2 linked regions of the Coturnix japonica genome follow. Each later gene encodes a partner of the first gene's protein in a complex. Links are inferred from orthologs where the notes say so. Each region holds a gene or a part of one and is shown on either strand. Other genes may lie near its edges.

Region 1 (4,048 bases):
TTACCAACATCAAATCAAACTAGGCAGCTACTTTCAACTGTCAGAAGATCACTGAATAAAATGCTAGCCATTCATCACCAAAGCTCCTACCACTCAGAGAAAATACCGAAAACCAGTAAGCCTCAAAAACACAGAACTTCAGAAATAGCAGTATGTGCCACTATATTATATGTAGACTTTTCTGAAATGCTTTTCATATCTACAAAGTTGCCTTAAAAGAGACAAAAGAACAGTTGTGCGTATCTGTGCACATAGGTGAACAGTTCAGAAGCCTGCACTTCAAACTGTCTGAAAGGATAAAGGGCCCATTTCCCAACTCACCTGTGATGGCCCAAGTACCAGAATTCACAATGATATTCATGAAACACTCCAGATTCCACATCTCTGTGAATTACCTCAACCCTGCAGCTATTGGAAACCCAGTTCACAACACACCTTTGCTTACTGGTTGCATATGTCAATAACTGTCCCATTTGGGCATACTCACAGACATTAACATGCTTCCTAGCAGTATCCAAGAAACTTTTCTAAAGCAGCTTGACTTCATATTCCTTTAATTGTTGGAGATGAAAAGCAGAAAGAACAAAGCAAAACGCATTGATATCTAATGCCTTAAGTACAAAAGTGGTGTTTCCTACAGCTCAGGGCTGGGCTATAAGTATCAAATGTACTGTTGACTTTGTTTTCACTTGAAATCAGAAATAGACATAACATGTCTTGCAGTATCAGAAGGACAATGACAGACGCATGGATGGAAATTAGCAGAAAAATCAAAAATGAGCTCTCAGTGTATCTAGTTCATGAACAAGCTAAAGAAAGCAGGTTTTCTTATTGCAACTACCTGGATTCAATAAAACCTGCTTCTTAACAGAAGATCATAGAATTGTAATGCTAAGCTAGAAATGAAATAGTCACCTCGGATTAAATAGTATCAAATAATTTCTTTACAACTTTGTTGAATCACATTATGTGTTCTTCCATTTAACTTGTTTGAAAGGGCATATTTTAGCAAAATCTGACTTTTAAAGCAGACAGATAAGGCAACATTAGAAAACTGCAAGCGCATCAGTTATGTGGATACATAACAAAGAAATATGCTTGTAATGCTGCATGGTAAGGTACAAAATACCCCTTGCCTTGACTGAGAAACAGTTCTCAGAGCAACCAAGGTTAATTTGCATAGTAATGATCAGCCTTGCAGTGAGACGTGTTTAGATATAGTTAACAGTTCTGTATACATTGTGAGAAGCAGCATCTAGAAACCAGACCTTCCTTCAGAGCAGTCAGTGAATAGAACAGAAACTTTCCCAACACTCAAGAACTGGAATCACCAAGTTCCCAGGGGCTGAGCAATGTCCTTCCCTTCCTTACCTAGGGAAGAGTGTGACTCACAGGCAGCAGCTGCCTGCACATTTAAGTCTCCACTGGAAACCATGCTCATGCACAACATCTGATGTACTTCAGGCAAGTGAAAAACTTCATTACAGCATTCTAAATATGTTTCCAGGAACAGGGGCACACTGAGTTAGGGGCTAAAGAAGTGGAGTTGTCCAGTTGTAACTGCAACAGAAAGAAAAACAGGAACACATTTCCTAGGGTTTTTAAAACTACACTTCAAGAGCTATTGTTAGTAATAGTTGCTCCAAGCTGTAAAAACTGCAGCCTCAAGGGCAAAAGTCAGAGAAACCCTACTGATTTTCCCCAGATTACTCACAGAATTAATAAGATCATTTGGAAGCCAGCCTTGAGGTTATTAGAAATCTCCTCACGTGCCCACAGTACACTTCTGCAGCATTCCTGTTTATAACTCTTTAATGAAGTGCAGCACCGAAGTGGAAATCCTTCTGCCCGCTACTAGACAGTGCTGAAACAATCTGGATATTTACCTATTTCATCTTTCCAATTGAAAAGCTTACAAGAAAAATGAAGCAGATTAACCTTTATTAACTCTTTCCTATGTGGTTCTAAAGCGTTTCATAACAAATCATTCATCACAGAAGTATCAAAACACTATCAATAATACTGATAGGAAAATGCAAATTTTCACAATTATTTATGATATAATACACTGTTCAATTTTAGAGTGTCATGGAAAGTTTCACTTTAAAAATATGTTTTAAAGCCATTGATCTCAGGCAACCCAAATAAAAAGTGCATAGTTTAATTGAGCACTGTTGTTTTGACACAGACTTAGAAATCCTAAACATCAAGAGAACTGAATGGTGACATTCAAACGTTCCTGTCAAGCACAAACTACAGGGTTTATTACAGGTATGTCTTCCCTACACTGCGTAGAAGCTCATTGAGGTTTTCAGTCCAACCAACGCTATAATTTGAGCTCAAGCACCCGGTCCTATACAAACGCTTGGTTCCATCAGTTTCAGTACATTCCTACTTACATAGAACAGAAAGTAAATCAACTACCACCTTTCAGCATCAAAACATGACTTGGCAGCCAGAAACTCAGACATCATCAGCTTGGGATGGGAGGTCAACAGAGCTAAATGCCAAAAAATCACCAGCTACGGGACAGCCTCTCAATAACGTGAGAAGAATAAAGCAAAGCTGAGTAGACATTCACATCAGACAAGTAATAAGTAATACATACATGACAAAGCAGGACCCCCAGACAGGAGCACCAGCGATGTTCTCACCTTGAACTGCTCCACTTTCCTCCTTCCAGAAGAGGAAGATCTCTTTCTCCTCCAGGATCTCCAGCTTGTTGGCAGCAGAAGATGCCCGTTGGCCAGCTCCACCACTGTTACTGGAACTCTTGGCAGCTTGGCTCAGCCTTTAAGGTGAGAGAGAAGAAATAAAACCCACAACCTCAGTAACAGGGACACGGTGGGATATTAAGAAAAAATTACTCTCAGAGTGGTGATGCACTGGCACAGGCTGCGCAGAGGAGTCACTATCCCTGGAGACATTTAAGACTTGTGTGGATGTAGCATGCTGAAAGAGTTACATATTAAAGCAAAAGGTTTCCAGAAAAGCACGAAAAGACTTAAAAGGCTGAAGTGACTTAAGAAGCAGAGTAAAGTTGTAGAACAGCAGAGACTGAACATCATTATCAGGTTGGAATACAAGGATCTGGCCAAGACCTGCCAGAGAGGAACAATGACCTCTTCCCCTCCTTTAGAAGGGAGAAAGAAAAGGAGCCGGCCACAGGTAACAAAGTACCTTTCTCTGTTACTAATTTACCATAGCTGTGGAAGGATTTTTTTTTGTGCCAACAGTGCAACAAAAGTTGCAGATCATAGCCTGGAAAAATATTTTGCAATATTTGATTTAACTTTTCTTCTTTCCTGCAACACAAGCAATACAAAATGGAGCAAACAGAAAACAGTTTTTCTACCAGCTACAGTTGTTTTACTTAAAATAAGTAATAAACAGAACAAAGGCAGCACATTAAGAGACTGAGGTAGCACAGGGATGCAGGCAAATACATACAACGTTTAGTATCTGAAACAAGCTCTCTGAATATGGACTGCCTCAAGCTCCCGATATGGAATTTTGCTGTTCCAATAAGGGTTTACATGGCACGTGTTGACCTTTACAACACTACAAACCTTGAGGAGAGGGACTGCTTTTCTGCATTTGGTTTGGGTAGGGTGTTGGTTGTTTTTCTTGCATCCTGGAACTGGCCTTAAAGCACAGAGACTTCATAAGTCATAAATCTTACAGCACGACACGCAGTTTTAGAGTCCCAAGATATTGCTGTCATTTGTTATCTAGGCACTGCTGATTCACTGTTTGCCTGCATGTGTTGAAAAGGCTGCTGTCACATGCAACATTCTGCATCCAAGTTCAGCATCTTGTTTGTGTTAGCATGAACTTTTGCCTAGTCTTGCCTGATGGTGCTTTTTGCACAGGAAAAGCTTAAGATGTAGTTTAGAAATTCCTCTGTCAGCAGATTATCCCTCCCTTTCCCCTCATGTGCACATACACATATAATCCATTGTATTTTGGGAGCGATAAGGAAGAAGAATTTTCAATTCATTCTCAGAACAACAGACAAACATGGCTGCAGATACTTACAGTAAGTCAA
Region 2 (4,196 bases), on another chromosome or scaffold:
CAAGTTGGGGAAGAGAAAGCAGAGCTTCACTGGAAGGTTACGGAGAAACATAAGTAACAGGAGAGGAGAGTGGGTGCACGGGAGGGAAAAGTCGATCCGAGAGTTTCCAATCACTTCTTTCAGCTCTTTCTCTAAAGTTTACCTAGGAAAGATCACTTTGTCCCTTGCAAGTTGGGGTGGTCCTCCATGCTGCTGTTCATGGCGTACAACTTTTACTTGACTCTTTTTCAACCACTTAAAAACTAATTTTCAAGTCCATCTTCACGTGCTTTAAGCGGATTACGACTCAGACGGGAAAACTCCCGCATCATCTCTCTCTCCAAAAGAGCTGCGTTTTATTTTTCCTTAAATAAAGCTGATTTCTATGTATTATTTTTTACTAAGGACTTCGGCTCACTACAGCTTGTCATCTCGGGACTTTTGAGAACTCCCAAAAAGCTTCTTCGAGTTTCGGGACGCTGGGACAAATCGCGTACACGCCGGAGCAAAAGCAGAGGAGCCCTTTGCAGCCGTATTTGTCCATACGGGACCCTGCCTTTCCGCCCGACCTGCTCTATCAGCCCCATCGCTGCAGTTCTGCTCGTCTCTCAACACCTTTGTCTGATCAGTCGCTTTTGGAGACCGGGGATAAAGACATCACTTGCCACGCTGCACGAGATAACAATTAATTTCACATTAAACTTATCCCCCCGCCATTCACTTTGCCTGGATCGATCGCTGCTAATTGTGTTTGCGGATGCTTTCAGCGCGTCGCTCTCCTTCAAAACTTAATGACACCCCGCGAGGAGGTGTGAGAGCCGAGAGAGCCGCTCGGAGCGCAGAACAAAGCGCAGCGCTGTGCCATCACTGACTGCGGCCACTTTCCCGAGGCGCTGCGTTATTTTCAATGGGGACCGCTCTGATTTTTATTGTTTATTTATTTATGCGTTAATAAACGCTGCTGAGGTGTCCGCATGATGCAGACGGGCACCCGGCTGCCTCCTCCTATCGGTTTTTCCTCCCTCCAAAGCAGTCATTTATCAGTTAAAACGTGACTGTGGTTCAACGCGCGGCTGTACGAGGGGAGCGGTGTCCCTTTCCTAGGGAAGAAACCTGTTACAAAAGCCCCCGAGGTGGGCTCAACCTCACAGCTCACTTTCCCCCCGAGCTCTACCATTACCCCACTAGGTTTCTATTCGCGGGGCTCCCCGATATATTCGGTATTTTAAGAGTTGCCCCCAGAGCCCCGCCTCGCACCCCTCGAACCTGATGTATTTTGCATTTATTGTTATTACTATTTCGCAGAGGCGTCCCTTCCCCGTGCTGTCGAATGTACCATTCTGCCAAGAAAGTTTTTATTATTCCTTAAAAAGGAGAGAAAGGAAAAAAAAAAAAAAAACACCCAACAAGCAGCGTGTAATTGATGTTATCCCAAGAAAGCTGAATCCCCGCCCCTTTCAGCTCCGAGCCCTTCAGGTAAAAGGAGAAGAAAAAAAAATCTTTCAAGAATTTGTTGCCTTTTTGAGGGTTAAAACATCAGAAGACAAGCTTGTCTCGCCTTGGCCAATCAGCTCTCGGCCCTGGCAGCTATAATATAGAACTAAAGGCAGACTCCTCTCACAAGCGTCTTGCTTTGCTACCATTAAAATCAGACCCTTTTTTGTCTCTCGATTGCTGTCTCCCGACCAAACTCCGATGTGTTCCGTTATCAGCGACCTAAAGGCTGCCATTCCAGCACCTGTCTTGCTAGGGATCGGTGGATAGTATACGATCAGAAAGCAGACAAGGACATAGGAGGAGAGAGAGCTCTAGAGAGACAGCCAGGGATAGGCACAGAGAGCTGTGAAGTAATTGGATTCAATGGACGAAATGCTGCTGTTGACAAGAATTCTCTTGGTGGGCTTCATCTGCGCTCTTTTAGTCTCCTCTGGGCTGACTTGTGGACCAGGCAGGGGCATTGGAAAAAGGAGGCACCCCAAAAAGCTGACCCCGTTAGCCTATAAGCAGTTTATTCCCAATGTGGCAGAGAAGACCCTAGGGGCCAGTGGAAGATATGAAGGGAAGATCACAAGAAACTCCGAGAGATTTAAAGAACTAACCCCAAATTACAACCCTGACATTATTTTTAAGGATGAAGAGAACACGGGAGCTGACAGACTGATGACTCAGGTAGAGCCACAGAGATACCTGTATTTGTGTTTGTTAACCTCTCTGAGAACCCCTAAAGGACGCATCTGTCTTAGCATTTTTGGGAGCCCCCCCCTTTCCCTCCCCCTTTCCCCCCGCCCTCCAAACTCGGCTACTTTCCCCGTAATGTCAATGCCATCTCTCAGACAAGTTAGCGGGGCCGGAGCCGCCGGTGGGGGTTCGGTGCGATACCAGCCGGCATCGCCATGGCGTTCCCTTGGAACTTGGGCAGGGACCGCCGCTCGCGTTCGTCCCCACGGATGCACTTTGCTCAAACAAACTGCATCCAGATCCGAGGACCGCGGGCGCTCAGTGACCGCTGGGCCGCTCTCTCCCGTCGCCGGCGGAGCCTCCGCGCTCGTGTTTATCGCTCGGGTTTATCGCTCGTTTCTTTTTCTTTTTCTTTTTTTTTTTCCCCTCTGTTTCATTTCATTTTACCCTTTTATTTATTTTTTCCCTCGCGAGCGTATTCTATATTTAGTAGGCATGCAGTCGTGCACTCACAAAAGGCAGCTGAAGCCGGATCGACCATGGCTCTCCTGATTCCGTATGATAGAGCTCGTATTGCAATACCATCATTTGCGATTGTGCCCATCAGAGCGTAAATATATTGATATTTCTTTAAGGATGCTCGCCGCCAGCTCTCTGGTACTTCCATAGGGGAGGGACTTGCAACTTATCGGCATTGCATCACCTTCGGGTTTAAAAAAATCTGATGGCACAAGGTTTACAACCGGGTAAATATTGGATCTCGGGCGGAATCGGATTGCGGAACCATTTTATGCAAAAAGAGAGAGAGAGAAAGAAAGAGAGAGAGAGATAGAGAACCTCTCCGAGAGTCACCTCGTAATTATTATTCATGCTCACCAGAGAGCTCGGTGAAGTCAATTGCTCTGCCAATCCCGGAGTTTCTCAAACTACATGCAATCTAGGCACTGGAAATGGGTTTCCTCCAAATATAGGTCAACGGCGCTTTTTTAATATTAATACATTTAAGCCCCACCTTCAGCGCTAGAACAGGACTCGCGGGGAAGGACGAGGCGGGGAGTGGACGCGGATGGGGTGCGGGGAAGGAGGGAGGGGGGGGGGGAGGGTGGGGGGGAATTTCCCAAACTCTCCCAGCTTCTCGGCCTGATTTTCCGCACGTTTGCCGGTTCTCCCGGGGCTCGGGGCCACCATCTCTTCCCGACCACCTTAAATCCGCCGCGTACCTCGGGAGCGCGGCGGCGCGTCTGTGCCGGGGCGGAGCGCGGAGCTCCGTGTGCGCTGCGCGGAGCTCGGAACGCGGAGCTGCAACCCCCGCGCCCCGCTGAGCGCTCCTCCGCCCTTTCTGCCACCGCATCTCGCATTTTCAGCTCCACTTAACTCCTCTCGCCCATCGATCGCGCCGGCTCGGGTTTCACCCTTCCCTCCTCGAGCGGAGAGGAGGAGGAGGAGGAGGCGGCTCCGCGGGAGATGGGCTCCCGGCGGGGCACGGCGCGGCGGAGCGGGTGCGGAGGAGCGGTGCGGACCGGGGGCGGTGCGAGGATGCCCTCCCGGGGCACGGCTCCCGCCGCATTAGACGGCAGCGGGTGAACTCCTGACCTTCTGTCAACTTCCCTCAGACGAACGGAACGAAAACAAATAGTTTTTTTTCTTTCTTTCTTTCTTTCTTTCGGGTTGCTTTAGACACAAAGAGGGAAGAGGGCCGGGTTGGGGCAGAGGGGACGAAGGAGAGGGGTCGGACTCGGGGTTGCCGTCCTGCAGCCCCTCGCCCTTCGCCTCGAACCCTTCAAGCATGGAGAGATCTTCCCCCGGAGAGAATTGTTAGGCTCGGGGAATAGCCGCCGAATGCATTAGTCGCGGGTTAATATTAACTTCGGGTTGGAGGGGGCGGGGGGGGGTGGGTGGAAAAAAAGGCAAACAGAGCTCGGTAAGTCGGGTTCTCAACTTTGCAGGTGACAACAGCAGTTTGCTGAGGGCTGCCCCCTCCCTCCCCCACCCCCCCACCCCGGCCATTGGCTGGATCCGGCCGAGAGATAAGGAGGCCA

The links. Proteins that work in one complex are often made in the same cells at the same time.
Region 2: the proteins of DISP1 (region 1) and SHH are in contact, whole or in part, in a cryo-EM structure (PDB 7E2I), measured with the Homo sapiens proteins. The link is inferred for Coturnix japonica from reciprocal best matches to the Homo sapiens genes DISP1 and SHH. Residues at the interface, in NP_001356523.1 of Homo sapiens: Lys242, Thr244, Gly245, Tyr246, Lys247, Ala248, Glu260, His265, Arg299, Phe336, Gly337, Asp338, Leu339, Cys340, Gln341, Arg342, Thr343, Glu459, Arg899, His904, Asp906; in NP_000184.1 of Homo sapiens: Pro49, Asn50, Val51, Thr55, Leu56, Gly57, Ala58, Arg68, Glu71, Phe73, Lys74, Leu76, Thr77, Pro78, Tyr80, Pro82, Arg96, Leu97, Gln100, Lys186.

Annotation. Positions count from the first base shown.
Region 1 is NC_029518.1:15,615,008-15,619,055, forward strand, and holds the start of DISP1 (protein dispatched homolog 1), read right to left. Parts: upstream 2,801-4,048; 5' UTR 2,655-2,800; intron 1-2,654. UniProt on the Homo sapiens protein: Functions in hedgehog (Hh) signaling. Regulates the release and extracellular accumulation of cholesterol-modified hedgehog proteins and is hence required for effective production of the Hh signal. Synergizes with SCUBE2 to cause an increase in SHH secretion.
Region 2 is NC_029517.1:7,183,751-7,187,946, reverse strand, and holds the start of SHH (sonic hedgehog protein), read left to right. Parts: upstream 1-1,396; 5' UTR 1,397-1,839; coding exon 1,840-2,148; intron 2,149-2,670; exon of another isoform or gene 2,671-4,106; intron 4,107-4,196.